Linked DNA regions of Drosophila melanogaster. The protein of the gene in region 3 interacts with the protein of the main gene of each other region in a pairwise test. Each region holds a gene or a part of one and is shown on either strand. Other genes may lie near its edges.

Region 1 (9,952 bases), on a different chromosome or scaffold from region 3:
AAAAGGCCAAAGCGAAACGAGTTAAGACGCAAGACAATGCAGATAAAAGCGGCAACAACGACAACAACAAACACGGCCAAGAACGGCAACAACAACCACAACAGCAGAAGGCGTCGCGGTGCGCTCTTCTTCTTGCTCTCCTTCTTTATCATCTGCTGGCAATGCATTCGTGTTTTTTGTTGTTTTTTGGGTTTTCGGTTTTTCTTGTTGGTTTTCTTTTATTATTATTTTTTTTTTTTTTTTGGAAAACTTGAATCTTTACCAGCTGCGTTTGGAGTTTTCCTGCCACTTCTTAAATGCGCGCGCGCATTTCCCACGACAAAAAGAAAACAAACGACCAGCGAGACACACAAAGTGGCACTTTATAGAACGAAAAAAAAAGTAGAATGTGCAAATACACCAGCACCGAAAAAAAAAAAGAAGAACAACAGTTAAGATCGCCGCGTTATTTAACCGCTTTTCCTTCCACACAACTCACGACGCGATTTCTTCGGATTGTTTGGCTTGGTTTGTTTGGTTTGTTCGGTTTCTCTTCGGCTCCGCTCGCTTCGGATTTGGTCTGTTCTCAGCAAAGCGTTGCAGCCAAACTAAAGCGTCCGTCGGCGGTTCGTAGCGAACCACTGCGAACCGAGTGGCACGAAGCTGCACGAAGTTGCACGAAGCGTTCGTCGGCGTGCAGCGAAAGCACTATCGTAGAGATGGGGCGCCACTGCTTGCGATAGCCCAATCGATATATCGTATATCAGCTGGTGTGATTTTAAATCCTATTATCAGCGTTATTTACAATATATACCAATTTCAAATTGATAGATGGAGATCGAACGTTGTGGTTTTTAAAGTTCCTGATCTTAATGCGTACATGTTCACTTATATGCAACTTGTATGGCGAATAAAAGTTGAAATGCAAAAGCTTTCAAAAGTCTATCGCCATGTCTTACATATTATCAGCAATCAGCTGGTTTTCTAGGTACTGTGTTATTATAGATTACTTATTGATTTTGAATATAGTTTTTAATATTAAGTTAAAATATACACCAATTAATCAAAAATTTTAAATGGGATTTGAGTAAAAATTAATGGGCATAATCATAGAATAAGTTTTTTATTTGGTAGGAAATACTAAACTAGAAAATACCAAAAGGCTGAAGAATGGTGGTCAAATGAAATTTCTAAAATAGAAAACCGTTAAAAGGCAATGCTATATTATTTAATAACATAACACAAACTAGTCAATTTTAAAGTTGATTTTTTACGTATTATAACAAAGAATGAAACTAAAGCTTTATAGTTACCAATTAAAAATGGCAGCCCCATTTTATTCACTAACTGCCCAGTTTTCGAAATGAAACATTCAGTTTTGTATAATACACTTCATATAATTTTATGCAGGTATTTATATATGCAATTATTTAACACTCAGTGGCGCAAACAGAAGAAAACCGAAGAATTCGCGGACAATTTGCAAGTCGCTTGTATTTCAAATGTCTCCATAAAGTAATATTGCTGATTCGGCTTTTGGTGCGAATTGTCAACGCACTCCTCGTTTTCTTTCAGTGCACACCACATTTACCATTATTTGTACACTCTTATGTATTTTTGTGGGTTTCTTGTAAATCATTTTGCCGAATATTTAGCTCGTACACACTAAAACTATTAAACTGATTTCGTTTTTGTTGACTAGCATTTAGTTATTTGCTTTTTGTAAACAGCATAAAATGTAACTTTCTTAATTATGTATATGCCACTACATAAACTAAATTATTGCACATCATTTATTTAGGATTAGAACATAGTTTGCCACACGTGCCTGAGTGCGTTGGTGTGGATTTAAAAAGATTCCTGCTGGCTCATCCATCATCTCGCATCCATTTCGATCCACCTGGGATTGATGTCTTTTTGTATTTGAATGATATGTACGCTACGCTTTTGACTAATTGGATTTTTTGGATCGATCGTAAGTATGCCCTAATACTCATAGAGTAAAATTTTGCCATAATTTTCATATTTGTATGCGTGCAGTGATGGGGGAAGTTGTGTCAGCGGCCAAACAAGAGTTTTCTAAATTGAAGAAAGGTACTTTCGAAAATTCCGTTACAAAAATGCTCAAAAATAGTGCATAGTTTTGAAACTTTAAATACTTCTTGTGGCACTTTCGATCATTATCTATGAACTATATTGCAATTATTCATTTAAAAGTGACTTTTCCCATCACCGCATTCATGTGTGTGTGTGTGTGTGTGTGTGATGGTGAGGCGGTTTTGGTGTTGATTTTTTTTTCTAAGTGTAGGGTATTTCGCTGTCGGCTCAAAACAGCAAGGCTCCAACCACGTTTAGTGCCTGGTGGTGTTGCTTTTGTTGTTGCTTCTGCTGCTGATTCTGTTGTTGTTGTTGCTGTTGCTGTTGATGTTGGTGTGTGTGGTACATGCTTGTGGTTGTTGTTGGCGATTTGAGTTCCTCCACTATAATGGCACCATTCTCATCCACCAAGTGATTTAATAGTAAATTCTCAACCTGCTCATCGGACAGTAACTCTTTTGGCTCTGAAGATCTGCAAAGTTAGTTAGTTTTGTATGTAATAGCTTTGCATAGTTAAAACTGAACGAAAAACACAGAACTGAGATTCGATAGATAGATAATTGGGTACACATATGATATACAGTGGGTGATAGGACAGGTAAGCAATTACAACACTTAAACAAAAAAAAGTCGATGTTATCCGACTTACAGATAACCGGTACTCCAAGTTCTACAAGTTCATTTAAAAACAATGAAGAAAATAATACAAATTGGCAAATAATACACTTTGTGTATACCTTTATATACTTATGATCCATTATAGTATAATATACTTCACAGACTTGGAAAACTAATTTCAAAAGACTCTTATTAAAAAGTTTTCAATTGAAATAATAAGATTTAAGTTCATGGGCAGATCCCCTAAGATAACTTTCAAATTCAACTAAACTCAAAAGTGGTAATTTTGAAAACTAGAGTACAGGCTATTCAACGTAGGTACATTCAATTAGACAGGGATAGCGATATGAAGATGACTCGGCTTAGAGGGAGAAGGCAATAGCGATTCAAAGCGATTAATGAGTGGGAAAAAGGTAACGTTTAGAAACAAAAACACAACAGATATTTCTCGATTTTGGTTTTTGCGTTTTGAGCAGTACATACAGAATTTGAGGTTAAAGCGAGTGTGCGTTCGTGCTTTTGTTGTTGTTGTTGTTGTTCTTGTTGTTGCTGTTGTTGTTGTAGTTGTTGCAGTTAGTTTTTTTTTGAAAGATATATTTTTGTGAGATTGAAAGTAGCAAAAGCAGAGACCAAATCAAAGCAGCCAATTCGTTCATATTAGTAATTAGTAAATTGAGTACTATTTTATAAATTTTGCAGTTGGTTGGTTGGTGGTTCATTTTTGTAGTTGGTTGGTTGGTTGGATTAGATGGGTGCAAAAATTGCGCTGATCATCGCTGTTTCGGTTCGGGTATACATATATTTTTTCGAAATTCAAATTCAAATTCAAATTCAAATTCGGTTTCGGAATCGAAATCCGATTTCTGAGTTCTGAGTTCAAATGAGCTTGGCAAGGCGGCTGTGCAGCGAGTTGAGCAGACTACGACCGCCACCCTTTGCCCCATTACCGTCTACTGACCTGCTGAAGAGGAAAAAATCACCGGCACCGCCGCCAGATCCTGAACCGGAACCTGCTGCACCGGTTGCACTGCCGGTTCCGCCGGATGCTCCGCCACCGCTCAGCGCCAGTGCGTCCGTTGTGCCGCCGAGCAGTGCATCACCTTCGGCTGCACAATCGCCGGACATCTCCGATTCGCTGTTGCGTCGCTCCAGGCTGCGTCCCACCTTCTGGAAGCCGTAGCTAAACACATCCTTCACCTTGTCGCCGGCATCGATTAGCAGATCGAGGCTCTGGCGACGTCCGCTGCCCTTGAAGCTATTCGAGCGGGACAACCACTGGCTGAGGCTCTGCTTGCGGCTCATCTGCTGGCCACCGCCGCTGGATGCACTGCTATCGTCCTGGAATATCGTCGTGCAGGTCACCTTGCGCTTGGGCTCATCGGACGACGAGGTCGAGTGCTGGGACTGGGCATCTGCATCGAGATGATTCCTGGCCAGGCCGAGACCCAAGCCGCCGGACATGCCGCCCGTGGAATCCAGGCCCTGCTGCTCGAGCAGCGACTGATTGGAGTAGCTGGAACTGGTGCTATCCGAATGCGATAGCCGGATCTCCGTCCACTGCTCAATGTCGTTGTCCGCCGGAGCACCGCCAGCCGAAGTTGAGACGGAAGCGGATCCCGATGCCAGAGATCCGCTGCCCGACTTCACCTCGTATGGAGCGTGCAGGCCCAGCGGTCCCAATCCGGCTTCCCCATCCGCCGCAGCACCTGTGCTGGCCGACTTGTGCATGCCACCGGCCAGTTTCTGCGGGAAGGTGAGCACCGCCTCGAAATCGGTTAGCAGGTGGGGGCACTCGTGGTGACCCAGACGCTCGGGCATGCGCAGGTACTCCTCCTCCTCCTCCTCCGCCTCCGCCTCCACGTGCTTCTGCTCCTCGGCGGCTGCCTTCGCCTCGAGATCCTGGCGATTGGCAGCAGTTCCGCAGGAGCTCCTCTCCAGACCCGCCGTCAACGTGTCCACGGCATCCACCTGACGCAGCATGGCCTCGTAGTTGAGCAGATTATTGCGCTGCTGTCGCTGACGGTGAATGTCCTCCGAAATCTGTTCCAGATTCTTAAGCGCCTCGTTGTACGTTAACTTCGCCGCACTGACCTTCGCCTCCAGCTCGTTGACGCGCGTCTTCTGGGCCTTCAGCAGTCCATTGTAGTTCGCCCGGGTCTCGTAGTATGGCCTATGGTATCGGGGAAGGATTCCAGCGGATTAGGTTAGTCGCAGTGCCTGCCTACATGTGGCCAAATCAAATCGGCGATACTCACGAACAGAGGGTACAATACAAAGCGTGCATAATGCTAAAATATCTCAACAAAAGTAAATTGCGCTTGAGCTGCAATCTAAAAGGAAGATAAAAGTTCGGAAGACAGGGCAGTCCACCGGAAAAAGAAAAAACAAAACAAAAAGGCATACAACAAATTAGAATTTAATAAACAAATATAAAACTTAAAAGTAAACCAAAAAACAAGTTTAATAAGAAAAGCGTAAGTTCGGCAAAAGACCGAAATTCGAAAATTTCTCAGGATTTCAGGTATATTTGCTTATAAGCATCGTGAGTTTTAAAAACTATGTCAACTTGCAGTTTGGTAAAAAAAAATATTAGCCTTAAGATCAAAACCTAATATTTCATCTAACTCTTACTGTTATTTTTCACAAAGTAATATATGATTTAAAAGATTGCAAATTCTCTGGAGTTTTCTTAATGCAAAATAAAAGAGATCATCTCAGAAATTTGAAATAGTTTTCTGCAACTTTCTGTTGAATATTTTGAAAGTAATGTTTCTAAATTCTTTATAACAAATTGATTCAAAATCGAATGGAGTTTCTGGGTCACCAGCATTCGACTTTCGGTGGAAAGAGGTTTCTGTGACCTGGTTCTTGGTTCTTAAGCAGTATTCCTTGAAGGGAACCCCATGAACTTTACCTGGATGCCCGAAGCGCTTGCTTAAGCTGACCCTGGAGCTTGCCGACCCGGTTATTGGCCACCTCGAGCTTCAGCTGGCACATCTTGAGGGCATTGCGGGTGTCGGTGACCTCCAGCTGGGACTGATTGACCTTGCTGGCGGCGTGGCTAAGCATCTCCTGGCAGGCGGTGTCCAGCGTCGACTTCTCGCCCAGACCCTGTTCGGCCAGGTAGACCATCTCCTTGGCGGCGGCATGAATGGACTTGGCCTTCTCGTGGTTGGCGGCGGCCAATTGCGTTTCCTTGGCCAACTGGGCGGCGTAGATGCGAGATTCGTAGTACGGCTTGGCGGCATCAATCGAGTTGCCCAGCTTGTGGGCGGCTGCCTTGATTCTCACCACACTTTCCGCCAGCAAACGCTTGAATTCGCACTTGGCCTCCTTTTTTTTTTGGTTTGTTTTGGGACAGAGATCGCAAGCAATAATGGTAAGTAACTGGGGTAACTGGGGAAAAATCAATACTCGCCCACTCACATCGAGCTCCACTTCGTATCGGTTGATGTTGTCCGTGGCGGAGTTCAGCTTCTCCAGCTCCACCTAAGCGGGCTCCCGAGGATTAGGTTGTTTGGCATATGTAGGTGTATGTATGTATGTGTGTAGGTGGTACCTACCTGGACCCTCGGATCCACGGGCGTGTTGCTCTCCGTTGACATGGTGCCTGGCTGATTTGTGGGGGAGGGGGATTGGGGTGGTCGATTCTCGGGTCTTGCCTGGATTTCACCGTGGAGTTGCCGTAATGGATGCAGTGCAGCAGGGCAGCGGGGCAGCGGGCTCGTTCAGTGGGTCAATTGCATCTGGGAATGCGATTCATTTTCCACGGCACATCGCGAATAGCAAAAGCAAAGCAAATCGAATCAATCGTGGAATGGAATCAAGCGAGCTTTTGCAGACACAATTATGACAACACGCTCCGGAGCTTTTGCGTTTGGCAAGCGCAAAAAGCTCTGGTCAGCTGCTTTTTACCGTTGCAAAGCGCGTAGAAACTATCGTTATCTTCTATTCCTAGGCAAATATCGATAAGTAAATAAAAAAAATTTCTCAGTTATTACGAATATATTATTACGAGATATCAAATAAAAACAAACAAATTTCTTTTATTCACTTGCGATTGGAACTCAGAATATGGGCGGTTCCCACTGTAATGCCATTATCTCAAAAACTGTGAATAATTATTCTATAAAATTTTCTGAAATGTCCTTAAAGAAATTACCTTTAAGGTAGTCTATTCAATTGCAATTCTTTTTAATTGCATATTTTATATACCTTCTTGAGTCCTATAAACTTAAGTCGTGGTAGATAGTAAGATTAATCATTTTTATTTTATTCGAATTCACCGCCAAACGAAAAACTAAATAAATAAAATAATGTAAAATTCTAAAGCAAATTAAAATTAAAAAGAACTGCCACACTTTTCACTTTCCATCGTTCCACGAGCAACGCTTAGTCATCGCCGTTTGCTTGACGCGCTCACGAAATACTGGAATCGACGGCGCCTGGTCACACAGCACCGATTGCACCTAGTGTCATGTGCGTGCATGTGTGTGCGTGTGTGTGTCAGTGTGTCGTATGAATTGTGGCGACCAAGTGCGCGAATAAAAATAAGTAAATAAATGCACATTGCGAGCGACGGTGCGTGTGTGCAGGCGCCAGATGGTGCACTTGGATGACCCCAACAACGAGTGACCCCGCTCGAAACGCATTCGAAGTTCGAAATCCGAAATACCAAAATCCAAAATCCAGAGACAACAGCCGCAGCAGCAGCAGCGGCAGCGGCAACAACAAAACGGCGATCGCTCGCACACACACGCACACACAGGTAGTAATCCGAACGGTAAGTTGCGTTCCAACTGATAAAAACTTATCACACCCCCCCCCCCCCCTCGAAAATAACGTGAATGGAAAAGATTCGATAATTCGAGTTTTGCTGCTCCACTTGTCACCTCATCTGTTTCCATTTGTCATATATTCATTTGCTCCAAATTCCGCTTTCTTTCGTTGCTTGCATGGCACACAGACAGCAGCGGAATAACGGTAAAGCTAGCGCCGACACCCACCCCCCCCCTCCCCGCCAGACAGGAAGTGGTGAATAATTGAATATTCCAACAACGTACCACCGACTAAATAATGGCCACGGGCGGCGGTGGCAGCGGCCACGGGGGAGCGGGATCCGCCGGAAATGCTGACCACCACAAGCGCAACACCTTCACCAGCTATGTGGCACCGCTACCCGGAGATTTGCGCGCCACAGCGGACACGAACGAATGGTGCCTGCCCAGCGATTTGAGGGACGTCCATCTGGCCAAGCCGCGACTGCTGCACGGCGAGCAGATAGTGGCATCGGCACCAGCCTACATGTACTCACCGATCGATCCGATGGACAGCAGCGGAGGCAGTGGCTCTACGCTCAGCGCCATATCATCTGCGTCCGGTACGCCAGCGGATCGTCATCACAAAGAGGCCACCTTCGGACTGTTGAGTGTCACCAATTTTAAGCTGGCCTTTGTGCCGCTGCATGAAAAGCGTAATCAAGCGATCACAGCGCCACTGATCGATCTATATCAGGAGAATACCTATTTGGGCCGCAATGAGATTACGCTAAACAACATCGATCATATCTATACCATTACCGAGCTGGGACGGGCGGCCAGTGCGCTGCAGGCGGCGCGAGGCATGGCCAGCCATGCGGGCATGAGCAGGCGCAAAAAACTGGAGCCCTTCAAGCAGCAGAACATCAGCGGTCGCATCGCCGCCCTGCATATCGTGTGCAAGAACTTTCGCCTGCTGAAATTCGCCTTCCAGCAGCAGGATTCGAAGATGTTTGGGGCCAGTGATCAGGGCAAACTGATTGCCTCGGCCCTGGTGCGTTTCGCTTATCCAATGCGGCATGATCTGAGCTTCGCCTATGCTCATCGAGAGCCATACTATTCGACACTGGGCGCATCCGGCACTAGTATGTATGCGACGAAAAACGACTGGGCCAGAGAGCTGATACGCTGCGGCGCCACCGAGTGGCAGGTGGTTAGCTGTGCCAGTGTCCAGCTGCTGCAGAATCCCCTCCAGGCGGGCAAGTACACTGTGCCGCCGCATTTTGTCATACCGAAGAGCTGCAGCGTGGATCGATTCCTGGATCTGTCGCGCGCCTTCTGCGATTCACGAGCTGCCTTCTGGGTGTATAGCTATGGGAGCAGCGCGGCACTGGTCAGATTAGCTGAACTGCAGCCGGCTGCGCAGCAGGACACCAAATCGGAGAATGTGATGCTGGAGCTGGTGCGCAAATGTGATGCGGGGCGACAGCTGAAGCTCCTACAGCTGACGGATCGCCTGCCGAGCATTCAGGATGTGCTGCGCGCCTATCAGAAGCTGAGGCGCCTATGCACGCCGGAAACGCCGGAGAAGTTTATGCTGCAGGATGACAAGTACCTGGGACTACTCGAAAAGACCAACTGGCTGTTCTATGTGTCGTTGTGCCTACGCTATGCTAGTGAAGCGTCTGCCACGCTGCGCAGCGGCGTTACCTGTGTCCTCCAGGAGTCGAATGGCCGTGATCTCTGCTGTGTGATTAGCAGTCTGGCGCAGCTATTGCTCGATCCGCATTTCCGTACTATCGATGGCTTCCAATCGCTGGTGCAGAAGGAGTGGGTGGCCCTGGAGCATCCGTTTCAGCGACGCCTGGGTCATGTCTATCCTGCCCAGCCGGCCGGCGGTAATGCCGAACTATTCGACAGCGAACAGAGTCCAGTGTTTCTGCTCTTCCTCGATTGCGTGTGGCAGCTGTTGCAGCAGTTCCCCGACGAGTTCGAGTTCACGCAGACATACCTGACCACGCTGTGGGACTCGTGCTTCATGCCCATCTTCGATACCTTCCAGTTCGATACGCAGGCCCAGCGACTGAAGGCGGTGACCGACTCGCAGCTCGTCCTGCGTCCCGTTTGGGATTGGGGCGAGCAGTTCTCGGACAAGGACAAAATGTTCTTTAGCAATCCGCTGTACCAGCGCCAAAGGGGCGATCTTGGCGCCCAGGCGGCTGCCGTGGCGCATCGCAGATCCCTGGCGGTGGGTAGTAAGGGAGCGCATGGCGCCGCTAGTGGTGTCACACCCTCGCGCAACACCATCAATCCGCAGCTCTTTGCGACCGCTTCGTCAGTGCCGCAGGATCGTTACCTGCAGCCGGCACATCGCATCTTCGATCTGCAGGTGTGGGATCAGTGCTACTACCGCTGGCTGCCCATTTTGGATATACGCGGCGGCGGCCAGCCGCAGGTGGATCTCTATCATCGCCTGCTGCTGAGCAACATAGCAAAGGTAC
Region 2 (7,106 bases), on a different chromosome or scaffold from region 3:
TTACTATTGGGTAGTTTTGTTTGACACTCGATCGATCGCCGTTGTGTCTCTTAGATAGCTGATGCGTGAACATTTCATCAGTGCCATCCAGATTCGCTTTCAGGCCGACGAATTATTTTGTTTTATTGAGAATACCATTTTTCCTATCTAAAAAACTGCTTTTTTGTTTGGGTACCCAAAGAAACCAATGCTTTTAAGCTCCATAAGAAGCTCGTGGTCGTTGCCAATTGCCTTGAAAATGGCTTTCTCTAACTCGTCGTATTGGAAGTGTGGCGAAAAGGGCATGTCGTTCAGGGCGTTGAAGAGCGTGTTCCCGCGCTCGTTGCCAATAACCAATGTGCGACCACAGTGGGAAAACCTAAGAATTGGTAAAGGAAATTCCTATTCAATTGGCCATTTTTGCGGAAAGCAATAAAAGCTTACCTGGCCACAGTATTAAAAGAAGAGTCCATCTTGTGCTTGGACATGGGTCTTAGCAAATTTCGGCGAAAGTCCCAGACGTTAGCGGTTTCCCGGTTCACCGTCACAATAATCGTAGAGTGGGTGGGGCTCCACTTGGCCCAATGCACTGGGGTCATCTCGTCTAGCAGTTCGAGAAGAGGTCGCGTGATGCCATCGACCCAAATGCGTACGAACCTGCAGAATAGATACTATCTTTAGCTACCCTTGATAGAGGGCCACTTCCTACCAATCGTTGCCGCAGGTGAGGAAGAGTTTGGGAGACCAAGGCGAGAACTCCATTACGGTGACACCCCCGTCGTGACAACGCAGGACTTCCAAGTACTGATGCTGATAATTGATTGAGCACTTGTGGATGCAGCCCTCATCTGTCAGCACGTAGTAAATGTCCTTGTGCAGAGGATGTGTAGTGATGCTTAAGCCTTGCGGGTGGCGGTTAGACTCGCAGGGGATACGCGACGATGGGTGAACGAAAATGCCCTCAGGATGCCCCTCGACTCGCTCCAGAATCATTTGGGTAAAACCAAGCAGGAAGGGACTTTTGATAATCCGGAAGCGGGTGACCGAGCCATCCTGGGAGAGGCTCAGGAATGGATCGATGTCTGTTTCATGATCGTCGTCTGAAACTTGTTTGATCCAGCGGATGGCAACCACCGGCGAGGAGCCTGGCGAAGTGCTGCGCTGCGAGACCGCAACGGGTGTGTCCTGCAAACTGCTCACATCTCGCACTTCCACGCTGCCGTCGTACAGACCAATGGCGAGCAAGGATGGCAAGAATGGCGAGAAGTTTATTGCCGTTACTGGCACATCGTAGTAGTATGCGCGCTCCGGCTCGCCTGGATTTTTAATGCTCCACAGGAAAACGCTGCCGGAGGTCGGTACGTGCTGTGAGGAAAATGAGTACAGTCCGTAGGCTACAGCCAGGATGTCACCATTGCTGCGGCAGAAATCAATGTCGCTTACGGCCTTGCGCTCGTCTTTGCTGGGCTCCGGTACCAGCCGAAAGAGCAAGTTCATCGAGTAGACGTACTCGGCCTCCGCGTTCCAGCGTTCCACCTGGTCAAAGTTACGGAAGCGTCGTAACCCCGCCTCGTTTGTGTTGCTCGAGAGCGTGCGGCCCATGTACATGATGGCGTTGCGAAACTCGGGGCTCCGGAACAGGCGCTCTATCTGGCTGCTGACCTTGTCTTTTTCGGCAACGGCCTCGTCGTCCTCAAAGGTATCCGCATCCTCCGTCTGCGCTAGAGCCGAGGTCAGGTCCTTTACCGAACTCATAGTGGCTGTTGCGAACTCCTTGGTGATATTGTTCAGCGTGTCGTACATCTCAAAGTTGGAAACGTAAGAGCTGACGGTGGCCTTGGTTATGAGGATGGTGTTGACTGCCCGAGTGGTGAAGAGCAGAGTATCTGTCTGAGCGTCATTGTCTGAGCGCCGGCGAATTTTGCCTTTCCCTATTGTCAGATACTCGTAGTTTCGGTTGTCTCGCTCCGCATCGTCGCCCTCGGGCGATCCCTTGGCCACCGTCGTCTGCGTCTGGCTGTGAATTTCGAAGAAGTCAGACTTGCGTAAGGTGATCTTTAAAAAGGACTTGGTATACGGCTTTGGCTCGTACGCCTCTTCGAGAGCCTCAACAGTGCTGTACGGTTCCCAGTTAATAGTTTCATAAAGTATCTAGTGGAGAATGACGATTCCCGCTGGGATGATACAAAAAAGTTTATATAAACTTACCCCGTTCATCAGGTCGTCAATGGACTGCTTATTGCCGCCTATTCCGGCCCGAACACTAGACCGCGTGCGGGATCTGGTCGTGCTCTTCGCTACCATTGTAGTGAAGTTAGTCATTTGGTGCATGACATTTAGGTTGTACTTCATGAACTGCTCCACATAGGTGTCATCTTGGATCGACTTAGGTGTCATATCAACCTCCTCGCCATAGATCTTTTCCAAAACCTAAGGGGAGTTTGCAATTAGTGGTGGTGAGTTTGTAAGTCCTTTGGGTTCACCTTTATCTGAGATCGATACTGCAGGTCGGCAAGTGTTTCCACACTGTAATAGTGCGTAGTATCTTTCTTCTTAGCCTTAGACTCTTCGGCTTGTGTCTGATTAACCACCACGGACTTCTTTTTGAGTTCGTTGTCTAAGTTACTGGACCGCTTTTTGACGCGTGGGGAACGGTGTTCTATGTAAGAAGTGCAAATTAGATCTTCCAGTAATTACTTACTTTAAAGATACTCCCATTTTCTTGGCTAGTGACTGTATTTCTTACTGACGCGGACATGACTTGTATTTTGTTATGTACTCCTCTTGATTTCGTCCAAATTTTTAATGAGTATTTTGTTATTTTATTATTTTGAGGGCACTGGTTTCTGGTAATACATATGTTTTAACTGCTGATATAACTTTTTTTTACCAAACATTAGTTTCATAGTGTACTTATCTTTCTTTAAAGATTTAAAATGTAATCAAAAACTGAAATGCTTGGAAATCAATTTAAAAAATTAATATTGTGTAATATTAAATTTGAAGTTTAAAAACTCCGAATACCACGAATTTTTACCGTACGGTAACGAAAGGGCTTTGTGCTACTTAACAGGAGCACTCTCTTACTCTCCGTTTCCGTGAGCGTTTTTTACCGAGCTCCCCCTGCGCCTGCTCGTTAGATAATACCGAAATAAAGTTGTCAACCAAGCCACCCTCTGTGGGCGAAGGACGACCGGCTGCCTTTTGAGGTTGCATATGGTTGAGTTAGTTAGATTCGGAGTCGCCAGCCATGCAAACCTGGTTCACACTCGCGTCCGTAATCGTGCTTTTGTTTGGGATGTATTCCAATGTGTAGAGATTCGATTTCTCAATGTAGGTCTGCTTATTTTTTGGTACGCTCCTGATATGAAAAAAACTTGCGGCAGCATCAAAATCTAAAAGGCATCTAACCTAACAAGAGCTAACAATTAATGGAGTGTCAAAGTGAAAACCGAGTACCAGAAAACTCAATTAGTAATGTTGCAACGTACCATACTCTGCCCGAATCCCAAACCTCATCGGTTTTGGCCAAGCATCAGCAGCGACAGCTGAAAGAACCGCAACAGCCGCCGCAGTACGTTATAAATTCAGTGGCAATGCACGCCAAGACGACCACGGCGAACTCCATCACGGGCGGCACACTGCATCGGGCAAAAAGTGCGCAGGTACGTCCAGAATGTTATAAATTAAATGGATAGTATCCGAGGAAGTGGATCGAAGTAAAGCGATGTGATCGCGATGCTTATTGGAGGTAAACCTATTTGACAGGAATTGATATTGACTGCCAACTAGGTGCGCTTAATCGGTGGGGAAACTGGATTTATATATTTGTCCATGGATAATTCAAATCATTCATATTGTTTTTCGGTATCTCAAATCGTTCCGTTAAAAACTTTTGTGCTCTGTACAGGTGTAACAAACTCTTACTATTTTTTACATTTACTACATTTCGGCAAGTAAAATCTGTTACAGCCAAATTCATCGAACGACCCTCTTCCACACGCCATTGCCTGGTTCGACGCGAGTGCAAAAACGAATTTTACTCAGCGAAGCTACACAGATACATACAGATTATGGATACGCAGGGTGCGTAACGTAAACTAACGCTGTAATACTGTTTCTGCCGGCTAACCAAGCTGGGACGGCTAAGTGGCTAAATGGCTACAGGACCATCGGGCCTAAATGCAGCTTCATGGAGGCCGCATGCGTGCAGAGAGAATCGGGCGATGTGCCCATGTTATGTAAACATATTCGGCAGGAAGATAGGGCAGGGTGGACCTCGAGTCGTGACGAAGCAAAAGTCAGGGATCTGGCTAAGGCTGCTGGCTGACTGATTCCCGTGGAGAGTAAGGGTCGTCAGGTGGTGGTGGCTTCTGTGCGTCGCGTCATTCATCAGACGCTCCATGATGTGAAACAAATTCGCCTGGGGAGGCATTGGATGCTTAAGTGAGGTGCTAAAGTTAAGCTGCCAACTTCAATGATGTGGTACTTGACCAGCTACCGATTCAGAAATGTATCTTTTGATTTCGCTGTCAGTTCTACCCTTGTATATATGTATGTATGTATGCTTTCAATTTTATTTGCTCGCGAAAGTTGCTATACGATTTTTCAATGCCAATATGAGAACTGCTATCGACCTTGCCGGGGGTATGAACTTTCCGCAATTAAACCTCACCGGGGTGGTTGTTCTCTGTTCTTTTTCCCGCCACCGAACCACGCTTCGTTCTTTTCCTTAAGCAACATGTTTGGTTACTGAGAGCACTTTTTGCTGAATTTTTCCGAGTGCCGTGCTCCAAGAGCAAGTTGCTCGGAAACATCTGGAGGGTTTAATCAATCTTTGGTGTCCTGACGAGCCGCGAACAATGTTTTGTCAAGTACAAAGGAAGGGAAGATTCTTCTGATCTGATCTGTCATGATAATGGGATGCATTGAAAATGGCCCCAAAAAAAAACTGTTAAAGCAGAAGTTCGTAATTCTAAATCATTTTATGACGATATTGATATATATTAATATATATTTAAATTGCAAAAAGCCCCTAATCAACGTTTTGATGTCTTTTATCTGGCTACTGTGGCTGCCTGTACACAATTTAAAATTTTTGCTGGCACATTTTATTATTACAAATGGCACTTTGGAGAATTGTGTACCACGGATTTTGTAAGCGGCGCTCTAATGATTTATGAATTTATTCAATGACAATTGGCAAGTTGAGCCAAAGTGCTTTTAGCTGGTGAAGCGGACCGGTCATTGAGCCTCGGAACCACTTCATTCGTGGCTGGGAATTGAAATGCACAGAGGAAGAGTTTGAGTTCGCAGTAGTTCACAGTTAGTTCACTGGTGGCCGTCATAGGCGCCAACATATTTTGTTCTTGCATTTAAATTATGAGCTCTGCCATTATGCATCAATCGTTAATCCAGCGGCGGTTAAAAGCAGCACAAAAAGAAAAGACAGTATCTATAACCAACACAGAATAAACAACAATAAAGAAAGTGGAAAGCCGGGAAAAACGTGCGCTGAAAAGTGAAGAATTTAAGTGTACGTGTTGAAAATTCCTCAATTTGTTGTCTGAGAATGAGTATAATTATTTGTGTGTTTCCAGCGGTGGCTTTATTCACCGCGTTCTTTTCCCTGCTAAGACATATTCTTTGGTAACGTGACGGTAGCGAAACTATCTGTTATATGCACACAAAAATAACATTGTGCATCCTCAGTTTTAAGAACTACGTTTTCATGCGAAAATGGTTTTTGATTAAATAACTCCTTAAGTTTTATAGGACTTAAATTGGCAAGTCCAAGAAAAATCATGAAATCACACGCGGTTTCAAAAATCACTTAACCCTGTTGACGTAAATATTTTTCCAGTCCCAGCACTGGATATATCTTCTTTTGCAACATTCGTGCTGCACATGGCAAATATGTATATGATTATTGGTGTCTCGAAGAGATATATCCACTCATTCTAGTCGCCCGGTTTCCCACTCCTCTGAACTTAAAATAATTTATGCAGTTTGGGGACAGCTTTTCCTGGGCAGACTAAAGCGTTGCGGCATTCAATAAATTGCTCTTAAATTATGGAAATGCAGAGCAGCCGAGATTTATTGAGAAGTTTCTAGAGGTGGGGAAAATGTGTATTTTTGGATAGGCTGTATATACGTATTGAGTAAATTCCGATAAACTTAATGTGTATGTCTTAAACCGAAAGCATCGTCATTTTGAGATTATCATCGATCTATGAATACTATGAATTTTTCACATCCCAAATTCTGCCTTTATTGCTGACCCATTAATCCAAATATATCAGATGGCGTCGTTTATATCTCATTGCAGATCAATTGGGCTATTTGGTCGGAATCTTTTTGGTTTCGGGGTCGCCCACGTTTGGCCCCGTATTTCAATTTGACGTTTCTTCAGGTTTGGTAACTGCATTGTCTTAGATCACGCTTTGACCTTATAAACTGGAGGAGCAGGGGTCGCTGGAGAGAGATGATGGACAAAGAGAACACACCAAATATGTTAGATTCATAAATTTTCCAAAAACCTAAACACAATGTTTTGAATTAAGCAACGCTGGGAAGTAGACTGCGGAAATAATTCGTAAATTTATCAGACTAATTTGGTCTCGACATATTGAACTTAGCAGCTCGGGCGCTAAGACTTTTCGAGTGTTCTGGTGAAGTGGGGTAAACCGTTCTCAAATCATTTTCATTCAATTATGCTCAAAAACTTGATTAGCCTTCAAAGCTAAGGAATTAAATTTTAATCTTTTGTGCAACAATTCTATAACATAGGTCAAATGTATGATAAATTCTTTTAGAATGCATCAGTGAGATATCTGAGAACTTCCATATTTGATTCTCTTCTCATCTGATGACCTATGTGCACATGTGTATTTTCGTAAATATATAGTTAATAAATGCCCTAACAACATTTATTGATATATTCTTCGAAAAAATCGCAACACCAACAATCGCAACGCAACTATCGTTGTCAGGCAACGAATGGGGAGTTGAGTACAAGTATCCAGTGTTGAGGTAACCGAAATAAAATTTAATCTTATCTAATCTTATCGCTTTTAGACGTATTTTGCTGGCTTTCCCCTCCTTCCTACCTCCTTGCCCAGATATTT
Region 3 (6,781 bases):
CAAATTGATAGTGTCGAAGGCATCAGATTTTAAAGCGTCCAAATCCGAAAATGTAACTGTAAAAATGTAACACATCTGCACTAGATGTGATATTTGTTACTAATAAAATATTTAAGTGTATTTGTCTTCGTCAAAAGCGGAGAGGGAATTTGAGAAGTTCATCACAGCTTGGCTAAAATTGGTCTCAGAGACTTAATAAGAACTATTTCTTACAGCTTTTTACCAATGCTTATTATTTTTATCAACTTTTGGTGAAATAAAAAAAAAAATTTTTTTTTTTCTATTTTCACATTTTTTATAAGGGGTAACAACGTCTATTTTTTTCAAAAAACGTCAAAAAAATAAAATTACCAAATTTGAACTCCAACCAATTAAGGGCTTAATTACAAGTTCATCGAGATATGTCATTCGATATTTTCCAACGCTTTTGACAAAAAATCTGATAATTATTTGACAAAAAATTACAAAAACTACTTCTGTCTAATTGAATAAAAGTGAATTCTTTCTATCCAAATAACAAAGAAATAAATAAAAAACGTTCCCATGTTTCAAATCCCATATTTCGGTCAAAATGGTTTGTGTCGGGACTGGAGATTTACCCAAGCTTACCACCGCTCCATAATTGTTTACGCACAATTCTTTAGTATATATCTCCGAGTGGAATGATATATTTTTGTAACGGCCATTCCGCGGTCACACTTAATATCACGTTCAATTGTTTATTATTCGGCGGTTGGGATTTAATTGTTTTTCGGCGATGGCGCTTCTCAGAAACGCGTCCCAGAGCTTCTTGGGCAGTTTCCGGCGCTTTGCCAGCAGCGGATGCACCATCTACAGCCTCAGTTCCGGTCATGTCAAGTGCGGTGTGTCCGTGATCCGTGTCTCCGGGCCGCAAACAAAGAAGGCCCTCCGAGCAATTGTTGCAAACAAAGAATACGAGCCAAAGGCAAGTCAATCGATATAAACGTTTATTATTCCATATATGAGGGGTCGTGACCTGTGCAGTGTATAGTTTTGTTTTCTAGTATCCAAAATATATGTATGCAAATGAAAAGACCTGTTGCTTATTTATATACATTTTGGGAGATGTATCCTGTATAAAAATAAACAAATTTCTCCTAACTTACATATAATTGACTAAATAAATTGAATAATTTCGTGAACTGCTTAATTTGTTATAATTGGCAAGCTGCCAGGTTTTAAGACGAGAGACCTCTATGATAGTGAAACTTATAGTTCCCTTTATAAATACTTTTCCATATAGGCTCGTCAGGCGTATCTGAAATCCTTCTACCATCCCGCCAGCAAAGAGATGATTGACCGTGGGCTCTTACTTTGGTTTCCGGGACCGGCTTCTTTCACTGGCGAGGATTCCTGCGAGTTTCAGGTACACGGGTCCCTGGCAGTCATTGCGGCCATGTTGGATGCTCTGGGAAAAGTGGATGGATTGCGGCCGGCGGAGCCGGGAGAGTTCACAAAGAGAGCGTTCTTTGGTGGCAAACTGGATTTGACAGAGGTGGAGGGATTGGCCGATCTTATCCATGCTGAAACGGAGGCGCAAAGAAAGCAGGTAGACAGTGGACTTAGGGTCTCATAAATTTTGTTTCAAGTCTCTTCTTTCTCCAGGCACTGCTACAAAGCACTGGAGCACTGGCTCGACTCTACGACAACTGGCGCCGTCGACTTATTCGCTGTGCTGCCCATTTGGAGGCCTACATAGACTTCGCCGAAGAGGAGCAAATCGAAGGCGGCATCATCCTGCAACTCGGCAAAGAACTAAAGGCGGTAAAGCGTGAGATTCGCGAGCATTTGAGTGACCAGCGGCAGGGAGAGCTCCTCCGCGACGGAGTCCGCACTGTGATCATTGGAGCACCCAATGTTGGCAAGAGTAGTCTGCTCAATCTCCTCTGCCAGCGATCCGTGTCCATAGTGACGGATCAGGCGGGCACCACAAGGGATATTATAGAAACAATGCACAATTTCGGAGGATACCCGGTGGTATTTTCCGACACAGCCGGATTACGCCGATATACTACGGATAGTATAGAGCAGGAGGGAATGCAGAGAGCCAAGAATTGTCTAGTCCAATCTGATTTGATATTGCTCCTAGCAGAAGCCAAGAACATTGCACAGCTGACGCACGACGACGCAGTTGCTCCGTTTGTAGATAGCTATCTGGGCGAGTTGGATATACCTCTGGACATGTGCTCAGGGAAACGTCTGCAATTGGTGGCCAATAAAACCGACACTTTGACGGATGAGGAGCATCAGCAGCTGGACAAGCTGTCCAACGTGTTAGCCATATCATGCCATAAGCCCGATAAGATGCCCGTGTTTCTGGGATCACTGGAGAAGCAGCTGCAAGAACTGTGCGGAGAACCGCGGGCGGAGAATCCACGCATCACAAACACACGCTACCGTCAGCAACTGGAGCGCTGCATTGAGAACATTGATATTTTTCTACGAGATTACAGACCCGACGTTTACCCGGACATGGCCATAGCCGCCTCCAAGCTGCGCAACTCCGTGCGCTGCATCGAACGCATCACCGGACACATCAGCTGCGAAGATATACTCGACGTGGTCTTCAAGGACTTTTGCATTGGAAAGTGAAGAGATAGTTTATAGTTGTGAGTTGCGAAGATTACACTGCCCATGTTGAGTATTGAATAAAATATTCATTTGTACCCTAGAGTTTTGATAAGCATAATAAATTAACATTTCTGCACGGATAAGAAAGATTGGAATTACATTTATTTCTAAAACCAATCCTTACATTTTCATATAAATATTTTTTTGATCAGAAAAAAGGTTTTTCAAAATTACGTTACTTTTAGAGTGACCTTAACTTTGGAGTTGACCATTCCGCAGTCGATAGCGATATGGGCACACAGTGTGATATTGTTTACGTGTTTTACTCGAAGAGATTTGTTTTTCTTAGAAAAATATGTCATCCTGGATCACAGGACTGGCGGACAAGGCCGAAAACATTTTGAACAAGCTGGACCAAAATGCGGCAACGGCCCTGCAGACAGAGAACGCCACAGGTTCAGCGGATCCCATGCGTAGGAGCATGACGAGCAGCACCCAATCACTGTCCACATCCCTGAAGTCCACTCTGTCGCCAGTGCGGCGCTCGGGGGCCAATAGCTCATCAAGTGTAAAAAGCGATGGCGGGGTCTCCGTGGTCACTAAGGACATGCGCCAAAAGATGACCACGTCGGCCAGTTTCTCCAACAGTCCCGACATATCCGCCAACTCAATGGACACAAATGAATTGGCTGCCTTCAAGATCGCCCTGAATGAAATCACGGCCGAAAGAGATGAACTGCGTCTGCGCTTGGAAGATCTTAATAACGAAACCGAAAAGTTTGATCTGCATCAACACACCCAGGTGCTGGAAGCTCTGGTTAAAAGTCTGTCCGAAGAGCGGGACAAGGCGGTTCATGACTACAATGAGGCCCAGGCAGCTAACATGGCGTATGTGCACTCCATCTCCGAACTGGAAACCAATCTGGCCAAGTTGCAGCAGGAATACATAAGCGCCGCTCACAAATTGCAAATGCAAACAAAGGAAACGGAGCAGCAGCGCCAGGAGCTTCAGGAATACCGTATCAAGGCTCAGCGAGCTCTGCAAGCAAAGGATTCCCTCATCGCAGAGTTGAAGGCGAAGCCCACGGAGGAGGGCGCAGATCCAAACCTGGTGTCCAAGGACAGTGAAACGCGTTTTCTGCAAATTGAACACGAGTCACTTAAGCAAGAACTAGAGCATGCCAACGAGGAACTGCAAAAGGCGCGCTTGCAGCTGGACGATTACGTTTCCCAGGAAAGACAACGACAGGTGGAACTAAGCTCTGCCCGCCAACGCGAGGAAACACTAGCAAAGGAGTTGCGACAGGCAAGGGAACACAGTGTGACCTCCGAATCCGATCAGCGAGTGCTCACGCAGGAACTGGCCTCACTGCGGCAGCAACTTAGTAACCAAATGGCTGCTGCCGCCACTCGACTCCAGGAGCGGGAGCAGCAGCTTCAGCAGATGCGTCAGCGATTGAGCGAGGAAGCCAACACGGGAGCCAAGAGCGATTACGAGACTCGGCTAAAGGCTTTAACCCAATCACTGGTCGAACGTCAAAGTCTTCTGGAAAGAGTTACGAGTGAGAGAAATGCCCTGCGACTACAGCACGAAAAGGCACAGACGCAGCTACAGCAAAACATGCACTTGGTGGAAATGGAGAGCCAAAGGGGCAGCTCCCGCCATACTATGCTCAACAGCACAGATGATGGTAAGTCTAACATTCTGCGAGTACCAGAAATTACATAAATATGAGTTCTACCTAGTCAAAGCACAATTCCCGCTTCTCATGCATCCAAGTCCATTCGATAATCGTGTGGCACGACGCTTCAAGCGAGCCCTTCGCCAGGCGGACTCCATGGGTATTCGGGTGGGAACGTTTCTGCGTCGCTATCCCATGATGCGGGTCTCTGTGATCGTCTACGTGGCCCTACTACATCTGTGGGTCATGTTTGTGCTGCTCTCCACTACACCAAACTAATCGAATCAAATACATTTAGTTGAGCAATTGTTGTATTTCCATAATATTGTATGTATTGTATTTTACGCGCCAAAATTGGATATCTAGTGGTACGAGTATATGTGTCATGTTTGTGGTTGCAACAATTGTATATATCGATATTATACTTGTGTCTCGCACTCGTTCTAAATTCAATATTCAATAAACATCAACTATGTACAGAAATTGCAATTGATTTAACGCTAAAAACATCCAGCAAACAAGTAACAAGACCGAAAAAATTAGCACTACTAAGTTAGGATTAGAACGATTCCTCACAGTTCAAATATTGCATAAAGAATCCATCTACAGATGCTGTAAAATTGTTAAGTAAACGTGAATTAGTTTAACTTCAGTTTAACTCCAGTTGCTGGGCAGAGCTGATAGTTCTAGCTAAGCGGAAGAAAATAGAGAGTATACGCTTTTGGGACGATTCGCGTAAAACATGCGCTATATGCCCCGCAAGTTTTTATATCAGTCATCGGCATGGTAGCTCACATAGACAGCATCGCCTCCGATGCTAATCAGGCACTGGCCCTAAGAATACAAGATTTCAGTATAAAAACTTTAAGGTAAGTAGATCATTGTGTTTGCCTTACCTGATTCTTGTGCTGATTATCGAACAACATAAGTTCGGTGATGTAAAAAGAGACCATGGCATTTCCGCCCAGCGAAGCGATGTGTGCTCTCACCACAGCCAACAGTTCGGTAATGAAGCCATGGACAAATCCGCTGATGCCACCATTTTCCCGGATCGACGTGCTCTCCCGAATAAAGAAAAAGTTTAGGTTGCCCAAATATTTATCTATACGACCACCAGGTATGAAACTTAGTGGCGTCACATCCACTCCATAACGATCTCGCAGCGGAAACTGTCAAGGAAATATAATATTAATATAAAGACATCATTAATATTTAATGTTCTTACATAACGGCTACGTTGAACAGATCCAACGTTCAATGGCTTAACTCCGGTTGAAGGCAATCCCGAAACGAGATTGTTAAGACGTGATGGTGAAGTTTTTCGCATTTTGAATGAGCTCATTCCGAATGGCGGAATAGCGGTGCTGGTTGGCGTGGGTGTGTCCACCATCTGATCCTCGTCCAGCGGAAATATGTAATCCTCCTCTTGCAGCATTCGTTTTCCGTTTAACTCTGGCTGAGATTGAGTGGCGTGCACCGTGCCATCATGATATCCGTTCTGCTGTTGAGGTGCCTGCTGCTGCTGAGCCGGGCGTCCACGTCCGCGGTACTTCATTCTGTTGGCATCGCTTAGGCCCATGGCCATGCCAGTGACTAGCAATTGAATTTGATCCTGCAGAGAACGAAGTAATTTAATCATTCTTGATCAAAGTCCTAGCATTTTCCTTACCGTCTCTGGCAGATCTAGTCGGAAGCGAAGATCGCAGATAGCACAGGGTATCATAGTGCGTAGCTTGAAGTATATGGTCTGCAACAGTCTGGGAAGGCAAATGTTTTTATGTGCTGATCCCAGTATGAAGTTTAGACCTACCTCTGAAAGTGTTTAGGGAAGCCGTTTACACTTTGGCCCACCTCGAGTCGGGCGCGCCACACTTGTGTGAACATCTGCAGATTCTTAACCGTATCCATTTCCAGCATGCCCGGCACCTGCTGCGTATTTACCACATGGAAGCCCTCCGGCGGATATGGCTCCATTAACAGCGATATGATTTCCAAGTCTTCGATATCGTCCACTTCCAGGACACACAACTCCTTGTTGCCACAGTTCAGATCGATCTCGTTCATCTCCTCTTCATCAGAGTCGTCTGTATCTGATTGTTTATCGCCAGAGGCTCCTGTGGAAGGTACTCCTCCGACATTGGCTGCCAAATCCGGGTCCAAGCTTTTCAGCTGATAGATCTCCTGGTTCCGTTCAAACGTTTCTTGTAATTTCTTCTGCAACTCATTTAGCTTTTGCTTGTCGGTCCACGAGTTGCCTGCCACGATCTTTGGTACCTGCGGCACCGGTAAAGCTGTGAGAAATAGAGCCGTTCCCGTGGCTATCAGCGCTATCATACGCTCGCCGATGGCAACTTGCGTGCGTAGCCCAAAAATGGCATTCATGCCCTTGGCCTTCAGCTTGTTGATCAGCACTCGATGAAGTTCGTACTCCAGGAAGGGCAGACCATCCGATATCTCTTTGGCGTTCAGCTCCGCACGCAGATCTCTTTTGGCGCGCACCACTTGGG

The links.
Region 1: the proteins of Golgin84 (region 3) and CG14408 interact in a two-hybrid assay, tested with the Drosophila melanogaster proteins (one large-scale study listed by BioGRID).
Region 2: the proteins of Golgin84 (region 3) and p130CAS interact in a two-hybrid assay, tested with the Drosophila melanogaster proteins (one large-scale study listed by BioGRID).

What each region holds. Positions count from the first base shown.
Region 1 is NC_004354.4:14,825,484-14,835,435, forward strand, and holds CG14408 (uncharacterized protein), read right to left. Parts: upstream 6,551-9,952; 5' UTR 6,300-6,550; coding exon 6,258-6,299; intron 6,184-6,257; coding exon 6,121-6,183; intron 6,028-6,120; coding exon 5,609-6,027; intron 5,025-5,608; coding exon 4,950-5,024; intron 4,865-4,949; coding exon 3,653-4,864; coding exon of another isoform or gene 3,571-3,652; exon of another isoform or gene 3,178-3,570; intron 2,549-3,177; coding exon 2,305-2,548; 3' UTR 1,384-2,304; downstream 1-1,383. Other genes in the region: CG14411 (uncharacterized protein), read left to right, coding at 7,771-9,952.
Region 2 is NT_037436.4:149,661-156,766, forward strand, and holds the start of p130CAS (p130CAS), read left to right. Parts: upstream 1-3,223; 5' UTR 3,224-3,410; coding exon 3,411-3,644; intron 3,645-7,106. Other genes in the region: Dic61B (dynein intermediate chain at 61B), read right to left, coding at 148-358, 424-636, 689-2,130, 2,188-2,409, 2,463-2,612, 2,681-2,737.
Region 3 is NT_033777.3:24,354,043-24,360,823, reverse strand, and holds Golgin84 (Golgin-84), read left to right. Parts: upstream 1-2,885; 5' UTR 2,886-2,947; coding exon 2,948-4,283; intron 4,284-4,338; coding exon 4,339-4,553; 3' UTR 4,554-4,754; downstream 4,755-6,781. Other genes in the region: CG18528 (uncharacterized protein), read left to right, coding at 758-946, 1,265-1,570, 1,627-2,613; CG6454 (uncharacterized protein), read right to left, coding at 5,046-5,108, 5,171-5,443, 5,500-5,886, 5,944-6,031, 6,085-6,781. UniProt on the Drosophila melanogaster protein: May be involved in maintaining Golgi structure and in intra-Golgi transport.